Linked DNA regions of Arabidopsis thaliana. The protein of the gene in region 1 interacts with the protein of each later gene in a pairwise test. Each region holds a gene or a part of one and is shown on either strand. Other genes may lie near its edges.

What was found. Proteins that work in one complex are often made in the same cells at the same time.
Region 2: the proteins of SARK (region 1) and PLC2 interact in a protein complementation assay, tested with the Arabidopsis thaliana proteins (one large-scale study listed by BioGRID).
Region 3: the proteins of SARK (region 1) and CHAL interact in a protein complementation assay, tested with the Arabidopsis thaliana proteins (one large-scale study listed by BioGRID).

What each region holds. Positions count from the first base shown.
Region 1 is NC_003075.7:14,907,442-14,913,355, forward strand, and holds SARK (Leucine-rich repeat protein kinase family protein), read right to left. Parts: upstream 4,006-5,914; 5' UTR 3,600-4,005; coding exon 3,488-3,599; intron 3,394-3,487; coding exon 3,261-3,393; intron 3,176-3,260; coding exon 3,104-3,175; intron 3,009-3,103; coding exon 2,865-3,008; intron 2,746-2,864; coding exon 2,674-2,745; intron 2,591-2,673; coding exon 2,531-2,590; intron 2,430-2,530; coding exon 2,329-2,429; intron 2,253-2,328; coding exon 2,121-2,252; intron 2,045-2,120; coding exon 1,700-2,044; intron 1,623-1,699; coding exon 1,243-1,622; intron 1,148-1,242; coding exon 752-1,147; 3' UTR 501-751; downstream 1-500. Other genes in the region: ATG18B (autophagy 18 B-like protein), read right to left, coding at 91-152.
Region 2 is NC_003074.8:2,581,820-2,587,573, forward strand, and holds PLC2 (phospholipase C 2), read right to left. Parts: upstream 4,080-5,754; 5' UTR 3,738-4,079; coding exon 3,438-3,737; intron 2,930-3,437; coding exon 2,733-2,929; intron 2,645-2,732; coding exon 2,509-2,644; intron 2,423-2,508; coding exon 2,186-2,422; intron 2,106-2,185; coding exon 1,882-2,105; intron 1,794-1,881; coding exon 1,676-1,793; intron 1,533-1,675; coding exon 1,380-1,532; intron 1,298-1,379; coding exon 1,211-1,297; intron 1,101-1,210; coding exon 807-1,100; 3' UTR 543-806; downstream 1-542. Other genes in the region: AT3G08505 (zinc finger (CCCH-type/C3HC4-type RING finger) family protein), read right to left, coding at 4-91, 214-224; AT3G08520 (Ribosomal protein L41 family), read left to right, coding at 4,213-4,224, 4,322-4,387; AT3G08530 (Clathrin, heavy chain), read right to left, coding at 5,352-5,507, 5,606-5,716. UniProt on the Arabidopsis thaliana protein: The production of the second messenger molecules diacylglycerol (DAG) and inositol 1,4,5-trisphosphate (IP3) is mediated by activated phosphatidylinositol-specific phospholipase C enzymes.
Region 3 is NC_003071.7:12,939,913-12,944,096, forward strand, and holds CHAL (allergen-like protein), read right to left. Parts: upstream 2,498-4,184; 5' UTR 2,278-2,497; coding exon of another isoform or gene 2,256-2,277; coding exon 2,078-2,255; intron 1,943-2,077; coding exon 1,850-1,942; intron 1,540-1,849; coding exon 1,364-1,539; intron 911-1,363; coding exon 665-910; 3' UTR 543-664; downstream 1-542. UniProt on the Arabidopsis thaliana protein: Acts primarily as positive regulator of inflorescence growth. Endodermal expression is sufficient for proper inflorescence architecture. Redundantly involved with EPFL4 in procambial development regulation.

The DNA of each region.
Region 1 (5,914 bases):
GTTATCTGAGAAGAACTTTTCCTCGAAAATCTACTAAGAGAATCGAATTCGCTATCTTCAACGATTTTCAAATAAATAAGAAGAACTCACCTGTTATCTTGATTGAAAGAAACACAATAGATAGGAGAAGGAAGAGAGGACAGATTCGCCATGTCTCCCAAATTGTTTAAGCAGCTGTCTTAATGTTTTCTGCTTTTTATATATGTTCTGTTTTTCGTCTTCTTCTTCTCAAAACGCTGTCGTTTCTTCTCTTCTGTTACTTTTCAGAACGACGACGTTTTCGATTGAGTGGGATAAGCTTTGTTTGGTTTGTGATGAGAACTGAAAATGACACATGAGAGTCAAAGTTGGACAAAAGTCGCAACACATTAAGCTTAAAGGACCACAAACACAAAGCAGCAGCTTATGATAACTACAAAAGATAAATTCTCAGGAATTGTTTGATACGATTTTGAGTATGTGTGAGAGAGAGCAAATCAGATTCTGGTCAAAAGAAAAGACTCAAACAAATCAGTCTCATAGTTTCTTCCTTTGTCATCATCATAATGTTAAAGGAAGCAAAATAATCATAGAAACTCACAATTAAAAGTTAATATATACATCATCAACATAACGAACACATAATCTCAAACTGTAGAGATATTTTTCATCAATTTTCACCACCATATACATGTCTATATTATAAAAGTGTAGAGCTTTTTTCATTGGATTGTTTGATCCATCGTAAAAATGATATCTTTCTTTCATTGTGTTATCTTGGACCGGATAGTTCCATGGCAAAGGAATCTAAAGGCTGATGATCATCGTCATCATCGAAAGCCGAAGATCCAAACATTTGATAAGTTGGATCATTGCAATGTGCGTCAAGCCTTGAGACAGAAGTAGTAGACAGAGAAGAGATTGTCTTGAAAGAGATATTGGCATGGTAGAAATGTGAATGGTTATGCGAAGCAGCCCATCTCTCGGCTAATCCATCGCCTTCAAGCATCAAAACAACTTCAGACATTTTAGGACGATGAGCTGGCAGATATTGTGTGCATAGCAAAGCCACTTGCAACATCTCTCCAACTTCAATCTTATCGTAGTTAGTTCCGAGTTCTCGATCCAATAGTTCCTCTACTTTCATCTCTTCATGTAATTTCCTCACCTAAACCAATGTTACAACAGCATCCGGAGAAAATGTTAATTTGGTTGATCTTATGAAGTAATCAAGAAAGTGTACTTCTGAGTGTCATTTCTTACCCATTCAAGCATAGCTCCTTTCTGGCTAACGGTTTTACCAAACTCAAGAGCTCTCAGTCCGGTTATGAGCTCGAGCAATAGTATACCGAACCCAAACACATCGGTTTTCTCAGAAGACTGACCAGTGGAGAGATATTCAGGTGCAATGTGGCCAACCGTACCACGGACCGCAGTTGTGACATGAGAATCCGCATGGTTAAGGAGCTTTGCGAGTCCAAAGTCACCAACAACAGCTTCAAAGCACTCGTCTAAGAGAATATTAGCTGCCTTTACATCTCTATGAATGATCTTGGGATCACATTGCTCATGTAGATACAACAAACCTCTCGCTGCACCAATTGCTATCCTCTTCCTCATGTTCCAGTCCAATGCCGGTTTAGCTACAACAGTTAAACAAAATTGGTTAAAACTCATCGAAAATGAGATTTGGACTGATGGTTCAAGACATTATACTAACATTTAAGCTTAGAGGCGACGCTTCCATTAGGCATGTAAGGGTAAACAAGAAGCCTTTCACCAGAAGTTGCGCAATAACCAATTAACCGAAGCAGATTCTTATGAACAGCTAAGCTAATCATCTCTAGCTCCATACGAAACTGTGAATCCCCTGAGGTTCCATTAATATCCTTCAACCGTTTCACTGCCACCATTGTCCCATCTCCAAGCTTGCCTCTGTACACATTACCGAATCCACCAGCGCCGAGAATGTTCTTGGAACTGAAACCATCTGTATAAACATGGAGTTCTCTGAATGTGAAGCTTCTTAGATTCCCAAGTCCTTGAAGCCCTTCCTCTTGTTTATCTGCTAAAAGCAAAACTAAAAACTCAACATCTTCCTGAATCAAAGTTATATAAGCAACAAGCTCAAATCGACGAACCGTTTAAGTTAAGGATCAGTAGCCTTCTTTGTTTCTTTCGGTACCAACAAAAGGACCCGAGAGCAAGGACTAGTATAACAACAGAGCCAAGGCTTACACTAAGAGCTATTGCCAATCTATTAGACCTGCGTCCTACACACACACTCAAGTATTGATTAATGAAAGGATCATTACAATGATGAAAACACTGCAAGAACGAGACTTTTACCTGATGAAGAGCTCAAAGAAACAGAAAGTGGACTTGCATTGATTGATCCAGAACAAATCTCAGGTGGGTTGCTTCTACAAATCAAAGGATTACCAGCAACGCTACAAATTCAAAAGGAAAGCAGAAGCAAGACTTAGTCTTGACTTCAACTACAAGAATTTGTGAAATCACTTCAAATTTTGAAACTTAAGGTTTATTATACTTGAAAGTCCTTGCTGGGAATTTAGGAACAGGGCCACTGAGATTGTTGTAAGACAAGTCCCTGAGTTTCAAAAGAATTTAAATTTCAGACAAAAAAAAACAAAACACTTCAGTAGGTGAAAGGACAAATCTGTATACACTCACAAGAAGGAGAGGTGAGGAATTTGGGACAAAGAAGCAGGGAAGGGCCCAGACAAAGAGTTGTTGTTGAGTCTCCTATTGGAAATTCAATTCGTACGAGGTTATTAAGATGATTAATGAACCGATGAAAACAAATCATCATTACATTGTAAACAAGATTGAAGAACAGAGGAGAGAAGCAAAGCTAAGCTCACAGATATTGAAGGCTGCTTAGCTGGTCGATGGAAACAGGGATGTCACCGGAGAATCGGTTGTTGGAAAGATCCAAGGTTTGTAATTTGGGTAGAAAACCGAGCTCCGGTGGAATTTTGCCGGAGATGTTGTTATTTTGCAATGACCTTCAAACAAAGCAAAAAAATTGGAATTGAGAAACAAGCAAAAAAGACAAACTTTATATTATAGAAAACAAGATCCGAGGATGTCGTAATCTTACACTTGTCGGAGATTTGTGAGATTTCCGATAGACTCAGATAAACCTCCCGAGAGAGACTGGCTCGGCGCTCCTCTACCATTGAGAGATAGAGAGAGAAATTGTCGCCATTAATGAACTCTAAAAGCAGAAAACAAACTCGGAAGAAAAGAAAGCTCACAGTCCAATGACGAGGTTGTCGGGAGAGCAAGTGATCATAGCCCAGCTACAAGGATCAACTGAAAACTCGTCCCAATTGTTCAAAGCTCCATGAGGATCATGCAAATTGTTCCTTATACTTATCAACGCCTCAACTGTAAAAAAAAAAAAAAACGGATTTTTGTTATAGAGTTGAGAAAAAAGATCCAATTTTTAAACTAAAGTAACAATAAAAGAAGCAAATTTTACCTTCAGGGTTTCTGGGCTCAGAAGATAGAGTGAGAGTAGAGAAACAGAGGAACAAGAACGAGTAAAGGAGATGAATTTGAATCTTCATGGTCTTCTTTGTTACTACTACCATGGAAGATTTTAGTTACGAGAGGTTAACAATAATTTTGAAGAGAAGAGAGACAGCATTACTTTATTTTTTTTCGGGGTAGTGACCACAAACACACATAGAAAAAGAAGAGAAAGCAAAAGCAAACAAAGCAAAAAGAAGAAGAAGGAGAAGAGATCTCTGCTTTTTTATTTTGAAAACAAGAAAGAAAGAAATCTCGGGTTTAGTAAACAAGTCTTTACGTTCGTCTTCTTCTCAAACAAACAGTCTCTCTCAGAGGAGATGAGTTTGTTGCTGAGAAAAGGTTTAAGCCGAAAAACGTTTAAATGAGAGGGAGAGAGAGGCAAGAGAGTGACATTTGTAGAGAGTGAATCAGGGGATGCTGATACGGACTGTCGGACCCGGGATGGTGGATGCTGGTCTACTCCAGTCTCTCTCTCACTCTTTTTCTTTGTCTTTTTTGTTCTTCTTAATGCCAATTTTTTTGTATATTTGGAACCATATATGTTTTTCTAATTTAGTCTTAATAAGTCCGATTAATAGATATAAAACTAAATTAGACTAAATTACATATAAATTTTAAAACTAAATTAGACTAAGTTTTAAAACAGTACAAAAAATTTAATAGATGTAAAACGCAAAAAAAAAAAAAGCGGTATATAATTACGATACTTAGGGCCTGTTTGTTTCTTCATCCAGATGGATTATTTAGATGGAGATGAAAAATGATGTTTGCTTTTGACAATTTAAGAGACCATTTGGATGAATCAGTTGGATGATCCATCTCAATGATTTTTAAAAATTAAGCAAAATTATGAAACTCATTTGGATAGACTTGATAGGACCATTTGAATGGAGATGGTTTACTCAAAAACAACAAATGACAAATATACCCTCTTTTAATAATGTTAATTTTCTATAACTTTCTAATTTAATATAAAAATTTTAATTACATATTAAACCAAAAAAACATTCTAAGAATCATGAAATCGCGGACTATTATTTTACGTCAAAATTGTAAATTCATTTTCTCCGCAAAAACCATAAAATCATTTTTCTCGCCAAAACGTTAAATTCATACTTTCCCGCCAAAACCGCAAAATTTTGTTTTCCCGCGAAAACCGTAAAATTATTTTTTCCGCCAAAACCGCAAAATCATGTTTTCCCGCCAAAACCGTAAAATCATGTTTTCCCGCCAAAACCGTAAAATTATTTTTCCCGTCAAAACCGCAAAATCATGTTTTTCCGTCAAAACCGTAAAATCATGTTTTCCCGCCAAAACCGCAAAATTATGTTTTCCCGCTAAAACTGCAAAATTTTGTTTTCCCGCTAAAACCGCAAAATTTTGTTTTCCCGCCAAAACCGTAGAATCATTTTTCCCGCCAAAACCGTAAAATACTTTCATTTGTCAAAGTGAAAGCATGAGTATTTTAGTTATTTTTATCTAAATGAAAATGTGGATGAATTACAAAATAATCAAATAAAAAAATATTCATTTAAATGCATCATTTAGAAAAAATATCAAATAATCAAACAAACATATTCAAATAAACCATTCAAATGAATCATGTAAATGGATCATTAGAATGCAAATGCTAACTGATCAAACAAACAGGGCCTTAGTTAACAACTAAACCCAATATTTTTTGGTAATTTTTACCGGCATGATAGATCTATTATTTCTATTAAAATGGATTGGTTAAACGGTAAGCTAAACTATGATAAGAGCAAATGGTACAGAAGGGGTAAAAAAAAATTTACATAGAAGTTATATATAAAGATTTTTAAAAAGAAACATCTGCATATTGTACATGGACGATGAATTGACCAAAATCGACTTGGGTTTACATTCAATAATTTTCTAATTTTATTATGTGTAAAAAAATAATTTATATTTTATAAAACAAATTGGAGAACATTGATGTAATGTAGTAGGACTACCAGTGACAGGCTAGAGGACTGATGCACTCTAAAATAGCTTCATCCTCTTTCCTCTTTTGTCTTCTTCTCTAAAGAAATCCATCTTAATGAAAACAGTATTTCACCATAAGATGAAATTTGATATTTGATATCTCCCTACCTAAATTTGAACTTTAATGATAATGATATTTAATGATTCGCATATAAAGAAATTATTGTATAAATATGTCAAAACGAAACAACATGAGATAGTGATACGAAGAGAAACTTGCAACAAGTAACAAATGCCTGAAATAGGTGAATCCACACACTTGCCCTGATGAGGTTGTGTTGTTACATTATTTATGATAAGTCCCTATACTTTTGATTTCTTTCCTTTTTCGCCTTTCTAATTTCTTTGTCATTATTTTGGCCCACCT
Region 2 (5,754 bases), on another chromosome or scaffold:
TACATTATTGGGCGGATCCTTAGAGTCATGGGAAAATTCGCAATTTTCGCCTTTCAAGCACGAGCCATGGACAAAGAACTTGCACAGTATCCTACAAAAAAGAAATCAAATGAATCATCGTCCCCAGAAACGAAAGAATCAATCTTTATCACCAATCAAAGAGACACAAAATTGAAGAGTTTGATGAATCGAGAAGTTGGGGGATTACGATACCTATCGGACATTTGGGGATTTGTGCGGAGAGAAGAAAAAAAAGGGTGGAAGAATGGAGAAGGAAGAGAGAGCTTTATGTGAAGAAATTGAATTTGTACGGTTTTCAATTGTTGAGGACCAAGCAGACCCCAACGTTTTTGAGATAGAGCGCGCTTCCTCCACCTCCACCACCACCTCTCTCTTTCATTTACTAAAATATCCTTTCTCTTTTCTTTTTGGCCAATTTTGTTTTATGGGGTGTGATTGGTTATGTTTATGGAAATTCGATCAGTTTTATGTGATACATAAGAAAATTCTTTGAAGCCTTCTTGGTGGAATGGAATCAAACAAGTTTTAAAACACACTTGTTACACAAAAACCACAAATCATCATACGATTCAAGTGTTACACGAGACTACTACATAATAATACAACAACACACGATACAAGACCGTCTCTCTCTCTCTCACTTTCGTCTTTTATGTACATAATATTACAAACAACAAATCAAGCATACATTCTCTCTCACACATACAAATCCTCCAAATTCACAAACTCTGTGGCACTCAAACCTACCAGACAAGTTTAAATGCTGTATCTTTCTTAATCATGTCTCACACAAACTCCACCTTCACGAGAAGCTTAACGGATTTGTACTTCTCTCCTTTCCGGCTATGTAAAGGAAATGCTCTTATTCCTTCGCTTAGCTCCCAAACCGGTAAGCATGTCTGTCCTCCAAAATCATCTTTCTCTGACATGTCATACTCATGCACTTCTAATCGTAGCAGGGCCAGCTCTGGAACGGTTAATGGGAACTCAAACACCTCATCCCAAGCTGGTATCCAATTATCCTCCAGTGTTTTCGTCTTCTTCATTACTGTATCCCCTGGAACTCCAGCTATCCCAACCTGAATATGCATCAAAAGCTCAAATTGTTATATTGCAAGCATAAGAGACAAGAAACAGTTCTATCTCAAAACATTTGTGTGAGGTTTAAGGCAGGGAATCAAAAATTGACCCTTGTATAGAAGTCAGGCGGTGAATATTGGTCAAAGTGTGTGTGGCGGAAATCAAAGTACCAGCCTTCTCCCATGTATACAGTTACCTAAGGGAAAGAATAAGTTCACTGAGTTTGATCGGATTTGAATTGGTAAAAGAAAGACCAACCAGAGAATCAGATATCTCACCCTAAGTGTTGTTTTCACAGGTAGAGTAGCTTTTGGGTCAAATATGTCACTATCCGAACCACTTTTCAGCAGAAGGTCAGGTTTCTTGATGTAGCCACATCCGCCATTGGCTCTAAACATTCCCTGCATTAGCCACAATGATCTTCCATACCCCTGTACATGGAAAAAGATCACAATCAAATCAGCTGAGGAATAAGGTTGATGTCCTGTAAAATGATGGAACATAGCTCCTCCAAAATAACTAGAAGTTTTACTACTACGTAGAAAGAAGTTGGTAATATAGCAGAAGGAGATACCTGCATATTGAAAGCCACCATTTGAGCACCGTGGCTCCAGCCAACCAACGGGTTGTAATTTGATGATGTGACTCTAGTTCCTTTTGGGTATATCCTCAGCAAATTGTGCTGAGTAAACCTGCGCCACACCATGATTAACAGGATTCATATTGAGTTGACAAACTGCAACTATTACTTAGAAACATAAAAACATAATATGACTATACCTCACAATCTGCTTCGCATATTTTTCTGCTGCCTTTTCAAGTTGTTCTTCGCTTAAGCTAAGGCGTCTAACCTTGTCAGGATCTACCTTTAAACACTCAGTAATTCCGCCTTTTGGTTTCCCAGCATGGATTGCAATCAAATGTTTATACTGGGGTGGTGCATTAATCTTAGACTTGTCTTCATCATCATCATCGTCATCATCATCATTTCCATCTAAGTCATCCTGCAACAAGAAAGAAAACTAACATGTTTGTCCATGAACAGCAACAGAACAGAATGAAAATGATTTGTCTTCGTACACACCTTAGCTTCACTTTTGTTCCTCTGAATAAAGCTCGGAACTTCTCTTCCCCAAACTTCTTCATCCCCCAAGTCTTTACCTTTCTGCACCACTTCCACATCTTTTCCTTCCTTGTACTCTTTTGGGGGTTTGGTTGAGATGATAATACGTCTTTTTAAAGAGTTTGGCGATGGGAACTCCTTCAAAGATTCTCCCACAGGAGGAGTAAACAGAATTTCCCCAAATATCTCAGTAACCATCTATCATACAACAAGAAAACACATCTCAAAACCAATGTACTCATCTATTAAAGCAGCAAAGAAAGAAATGCAAAATAAAAAGCTACCTCAGCAACTTTAGACTGAAGATCTGGAGTAAGATGATCTTCAAGAGTTACAACAACAGGATAGTCAGATACATCAAAGGCATGTGCTCTGATAGCTTTGAGACATTTGATCAACCCCACAGGTGTAGTGAGAGTCCTGTTTAAGAATGGTTCAGTAAACAAGTTAAACGCCAAGCACCTAACCTTGACTTGTTTTTCGAAATAAATTTGAAGCAAAATTATACATTCCGTGAAGAACATCAATATCGTCTTTGTTGGAATTGGGCCATATATCCAATTCAATGACTCTAACACCTTTCTTCAACGCATCAATAATAGGTACCTCACTACAGTCACTGCTCAGCTGATTACCAGTCAGATAAGAATTATGACCAGTGAATATGAAATAATGCGATATAGGAGCATCCATGTCATGATGCACCTGAAACACCACAAATTCATTAGAGATAAGTCTATAATCAATCTGAAAATAAAAGCTAGCACAATTGAGTCACAATTACATGTATAGCCGGAATTGTAAAAATATTAATTACTTGTATCATGGATTTTTGTGTCAGAGTTCCTAATAGAGTAAATGTCACATTCCTAGATATGTTACTTTCTCAACTTTTTTTTTTTTTTTGAGACATAAAAAGAAAAACAATTCTATTGCTTCAAATTCTTGAATCAGACTTATTCCACAACACCTAAAAAGTACATAGCTCCTACGACTTTCTACCAAACAGCAGCTTCGAAGTTCGAACTCTTGATTAGACTCAGTGAAACATTCAAACAAATTATTCCAAAAATCTCACTTCCTCACACCATTTCCTCAATTACCAAACAAGGAAAACGAAAAATCCCAATCCAAAATCTGAGTTTCTTATATCAATCAATCATAGTTTACTTCAGATTCTGAACTCATAAAATCGAAATAACACGAAAATTACCTTATGGAGAGCAAGAGGAGGGTTATTATCACCAAAGAGGTACTTGAAGAAAGCATCAAGATGGAGACCATTACGATGAAGAAGAGAAGATGCAGAATTGATAATTGACTGTGCATCTTCTCTGGTGGCTTTATCTTGTTTCTGAACATCGATCAGAAACCTGTGGAGATGATCAACGGTCATAACTCCATTCTCTGAGTACTTTTCGAAAATGGTCTTGATCTCACGCGGTGCCTCCGATGCAGTGTAACGAAACCTCCGGCGAAAGCAGAAACACACTTTGTACGTTTGCTTCGACATGAAGTAAAGAAAAAGACGGATCTTTGGGTAATGATTGGAGACGATGATGAAGGAATGAAGTAGGGTTTGTGTGTTATATAATCAGAACTATCTTCTCATTGTTTTTGAAATCAGACAAGCGAGATCAGAATCGTCGTTTTGCGTGTCGCATCTGCAAAGACAAAGAGATTTTTTTCCTTTCTTTCTAGTGAATCTCCTCCATGTAATGTTTAATCGATCTTGAACCTTGTCGGAAAAAGATCTTCTTTCTCTCTCTGTGCGAATATCCCCTCTGGCAAATTCTTATCCATTTGGGTTTTATTGGGCTTTTGAAATAATAAAGCCCATTAAGTTAGTTACTAGGGTTTTGTTGTTGTTTAAAGGAGGAATAAGAGCGTAAGCTACAAAATCTTTCTATTCATCTCCGCCGCTCCTCATCCTGTAAAGCTAAACAAATAATCAGAGGAACGAAGGAGACAGCTTCTGCGAAATCAGCATGAGAGCCAAGGTTAGTAATGGGTTTTGATTGTTTAATGGATTTTTTAGTGATGAGAAATTGAAGTAGTGTGTAGGATCTTTATGGTTTGTGTGTTTGTGTGTTGCAGTGGAAGAAGAAGCGTATGAGGAGATTGAAGAGGAAGAGACGAAAGATGAGACAGCGATCTAAGTAGATTCGGGAGTTTGTTTTGTCTTTCTTCTTTTTAGAACCAACTCTTATGTGAGTTTTGTTGGTTTTGCAATTTTCAATTTGAATGTTTTGTTGGACCAAATCGAATCTATGTTTTCTATTAGAATTATGTTTATTACATGGAATGATCCTTATGAGTTACTGATTCTCCTTAAAGTTCTTCAATCTGCTTATCATTTTGGTTTAATTGATTATCTATAGTTAGTGTCTGCGCTGGATGAGTTTTATCCTGGTGAAGGTTGAACTTTTGATATTAGAAATACCAAGTGAATTTGTATGTCATCTAAGTATACTAATAAAAACAAAGTATGTTGGGTTGATTGAATCTTTCTATCCAGAACGTTTTCTTAGTAATGTAGCAGAAATGTGTGTTTACGGAGGGATGCAATTTTTAGTTCATGATGTTCAGATGACTATTGGTACTTAGGTTTTTATGTGTACATGTGAAATAAACCTACCCTAAGATTTCATTATTATTTCATGAAAATGAGATTCACGTTGCATCTATGTCTTTCTGATGCTGATGAATGATGATGATTGTTCTGAGGTCAACCAAATTCTCATGAAGGATTTATTTAGTCCTTCTCGATATTAATTGTTTCATATATGAATAACAACAAGGTGAAACTGATCAACGGTTTAATAAATCGAAAGTCGAATGGAATGAAATGCTGAAGGAAAGTACAACTACAAAACTCATATGAGTAAGAGAGTTGAGTATATATACTCAAAAATGGCTTTTGACAAAAAGTTAAAAAAAAATTACTCACCTAAACCCAACAGAATATTACAACGAAAGGAGGTTATTATCCACATTATTCCCAGACAAATTCTGGTCAGACATATAAGCTAGCTAGCAGATGAACACCGCCCTAGCAAATTGGGCCGACTCTATGCGCTACTGATACTTTTCCAAATGCGGATATTAAAGCATAAGCTGGTCTGCTTTAGTAGCCGCCCATCGGTGGCATTCCATATGGTGGCATGGGAGGCATTCCTGGCATACCGCCCATTTGTGGTGGAGGACCATACCCACCACCACCTCCCATTCCTGGCATCGGTGGTGCAGGTAAAGCAAGTGGCAACATTTGGGCATACATGTTCTGTTTAAAAACAAAAGAAAAACATATTACTCCTTTAAGTGTATCTGTCAAGATAAAGAGTCGGATGATATCCAGTGTAGCTGTGTCATAAGTAGTACCTGTTGGGATATGACATCCTTCTCTTCCTGCTCTTTGGCCTTCACCTCTTTTTGTGCCTCAAGCTTGTCCTTTATTAGCTCATCCACTTTGCCAGAGTACTCTCGGATAAACTGCAAAGAAAAAACGACAGGAAGAAGAGAATTCATCA
Region 3 (4,184 bases), on another chromosome or scaffold:
CAGTCAGTCAATGACTGCGACTTTAAAGAAAAAAAATGACCGCGAGTCTGCGACTTTAAATCCTTCAAACTTTTATATATGGGCTATGTGTGAGTGGTGTAAGGTGTATTTGGATACGTAATACGTTATACGTTAGCATATGTTTTCTTGAATATTATCAGTGTGTACGAATAGATTAAATTGAACGAGCTGAGACTACAGAATTTAAATGAAATCAACGAGTCCCGCAGACAGATGTTAATAGTTTACTTATATGTATATGCTAAGAGTAATGTTATTGGGCTTTTGGTTTATTTATGTTAGTCCATATGTTTATGAGCCTAAACCTATGTGATACTTATTAGAAAGCGAGTACGTTTTTTTATTTTTTGTTCATTATAAGCAAGTACGTTGAAGAAGAAGACAAGAAATATGTTTCCTTTTGACACCAAATGTTGATATTATTCATGAATTATGTCACCATATACGAAATCATATGCTAAGAACGTCATATCGTCTATACGAGCATCATCAATCAATTTATCAGCAAAAGTTTCACGTTGAGGTTGTCCTAGCAACATGTCAATGTATAATAAATATTTGGAGTAGAGGCAAGATATAACTACGAACATGCATATAATTCATATATATAATGTATATATGTGAGTATATATATTATAAAAGATCATGGCATGTACAACTTGTTGCCGCACTTGCATCTCCAAGCTTCCGGGTAGTATTCGGCGGTGACAGGCGTGCCGGGAGGCACCGGAACGTGAACAGGCTTGCACGGAGTGCATCTTCCACACTTGGAGGAGCACCGTGGTGGAGATGAGCCCAATCCCCTTAGAATCCTCCGTAGCTCTGCCTCCTTGCTCCGGTCACCGATCTTCCTAGTCTTCTTTATCACTACGGTACTCTTGCCTTCCTCCTGAACACATACTCAAAACGTACATATTATCACATTTTTCATTACTAAATATATATTCAAACGTATACATATCCTAATTTATTATTTTCTTCATTAGGATAATACATCTAGTAAAACAAACCAAACAATATGGTTAATCAAGAATAATTAGTATTTTCTAATTAACGTTCAATAATTAGTATCTTCTAGTGAACTCAATTTCAGCTGCTATCAACATAAGATAGTGAGAGGACTGCGTTACTAACGTGCGATTTCATGCTGACATACGCATATTATTGTTAAAATGCGCAGTTTAGGTAAAAAACATTTTTAAGACAGGGTTGGGGATGTGAGACAAGACGCGGGAAAACCGCTCCGGAAAAAGCGCTACGCACATTACCAAAAAGGGCAGAGAGATTGAGAAGTTCCAAGAGCCTGTCATACGTTAACGTGCACCGTGGGGGCTAATATTACCACTCGATCGAGATCGTAAGCAAGGCAGGGTCCCACGAGTGGTGAACGAACCAAAAGTTGAGTACTGTCCTTGTCCTCGTGTGCGCTGAAACCAATCCGACGGCTGAGAATTTCTTTAGGAGTACATGGCATCTCTGCATGCCCAGTCAGTCTCGACATGCCGTCACAGTCGCTGACTGTTCAAGCGCAGTTTAGCCACAACCCTTTTGTTTGTGTAGTCCTTTTAGAGAACCCCGCATTATAAGCTTATATTATTTATGGAAAAAAAAAAAAAAGCTTATATTATTTTTAAAGTGTGTTTAATGATGAATCAACATCAATCTTGTCCTCCAAAGATGCTTGAATCAGGAGAAAATAGAAACTAAGCTTTTTTTGGATTTTATGTGGTTATAGTTATGCCAAAAAAAAGGAAGTTAACACGGTTTTTGATTCCTATTTCCTAACTAATTGTTGACTCAACAGCAAAAAAACAAAAACAATTGTTACTTGTTAGATCACGCAAGAGAGTAAGAGGTATAAACAGTTTACGAACCTTTGCATAGAAGTTCCCTAGTGTCCCAGAGTTAGAATTCCTATTATCTGCATTTTTACAACAAGATAATATATGAATGGTACTGTAATAATTTATGTTACGTAACCAAAAATATTCTAAGATATTAATGTTTGAGAAAGTTGATAATTAATATGATAACGAGAAAAAGAAAGATGGCTTACATGGAGAAGAAGTCGAAGTGGGAGTTATAGTGAAGGTGGCAATGACACAGAGGACGAAGAAGAGTAGCAATAAATAGAAGAGACTGAACTTGGCTCTCGTGTTTTCTGATGGTTGTAATGATGATGGTAATGATGATGATAATAATGATAATGATGATGATGTTCTCTCGAAACCCATAATTACGAAACTTTCTGAAAACCTAAGAAGAGGCTAGCAGAGATTAGTTATGATCTCCTCATCCATGCGAAAAAAAAAACTTGGTGGGTTTTTAAAAAACTTGAGATGAAAATGGAAATCAAGAAAAGATTATTGAAAAGGAATATTGAATGTCTTTTGGTTTTTATGATTTGGGTTTTCTCAAAAAACGAGAGTGAGTAGTGGGAGTGGTTGAGAGTGAGAAAGAGCAAATGGAGTCGACTATGAGAGATAGAACAAGGAGGGGTTAACTGCAAAAATGTGTGATTAAATATGGAAATTTATATATAAAAGGATAATAAGAAAAGAAATAAGAAGATAAAATAGTATATGAGTGGGAAATGAGAGAAAGAGTGTAAGAAGAGAGAAGTAATTAAGAAAGGTACCTAAGCATTGCTAAGTTTGGGAGTTAGATTCTCCTGCACCCTATTCTCTCTGTCATTGTACCCTTCCTTTCACCAGAAATTGCTTTTAGCAATCTTCCAAGCTATACATATATATACACATACACACTCATATGTTTATCTATTGTATATTTTATATGTAGTTATATTTCTTGATTAAGTTCTTTCATATGCATGTGTGTAGGGTTTAACATATCATAAGTACTCAAGATTAGGGTTTCACTTAGTTTATTATTATTGTTGGGGGGGGGGGGGGGGAAATGACTGCTTGGTAGAAACTTAAAAAAAAAAATCATAATTAAGGTAGAGAGATGAGAGGTGATTGATTTGAAGAGAGATGAGTAAGGGAGGGCCGTAGGATGATATATGAGTTTGATTCTAAAGGCAAGGAGGTATGGACAAAACATCCCAACAAATGTGTAAGAAGGGTTCCATGTTCATTCCTAAATTACACATTTATATATGTAGTTTTAACAATAACTTTTTACTCCTATCAATTCAAGCAAAGGTTATATACTAAAGATTCTTAATAGTATAAATAGAAAAAACAATAACTGTTGAAACGGTACTAAATATATATATAAAAATGGCAAACAAGTTGCAGTATAAACTTTTAACAATGGGATTAGTAAATTCTTTTTTTTTTTTAATTCTAAAAGAAAGCTATTAGACAACAAAATATTTAATGATTTTAGCATGAAGCATGAGAGAAACTAATATTTTGGAAAAATTTATAGGTTATCAAATGTACATATATCAATGCTTCAAAATTTCTTGTTACGTTTGACAATACCATTTTTATGCGGTCTAGATTATGCAACAATATAATCATCCTAATACCAAATATTTTATTTTTATGTTGAATTGGTAATATTATATCTAGTGTTGGTAGAATACGTCTGATTACAACTATACAATTGAACGTTCGTGAGGACATAGTGAACCACAACTGAAAAAATTGTGTAAAATTAATGGTTCATATGATCATATCTAATATACTAGTTTTGTGATTGGTGGAGGGAAAGAAATCAAAGGTAACATGCCCAACAAAGCTGTCTCGCCTTAAGTTTCTATAAAACAAAATCTGAAAGTTTTTTTTTTGTTACAATTAACGGAGTTCAAAAAAAAAAAAAAAATAGAGCTCAAAATGTGACATAACCATTAGTCCATTAGAAAGAAACTTAAGATGAAGAGAAGTAATATAAAATGTTAAACAAAATCCCATATGTTCTTTACATATATATAGGTTTTTGATTTACATTTTATATTCTTAAACTATAATTTTGTTATAACTAAAGGCTATGTCTCTTAAAATTATTTCTTTGATCATGTGTCGAGAAATATTAATTCTGACGTGGGTTTAGAAGCTTTTTTGTACATTTAAGATTGTGTGATATTAGATCGGACAATATCAATTTTTTTTTGTTTTATTTTTCTTGATTAAGTTATTTGGAAACCCCAAAACATAGCTGATAGCCTTGAAAGAAAGCGAAATTTCCATTGTTGA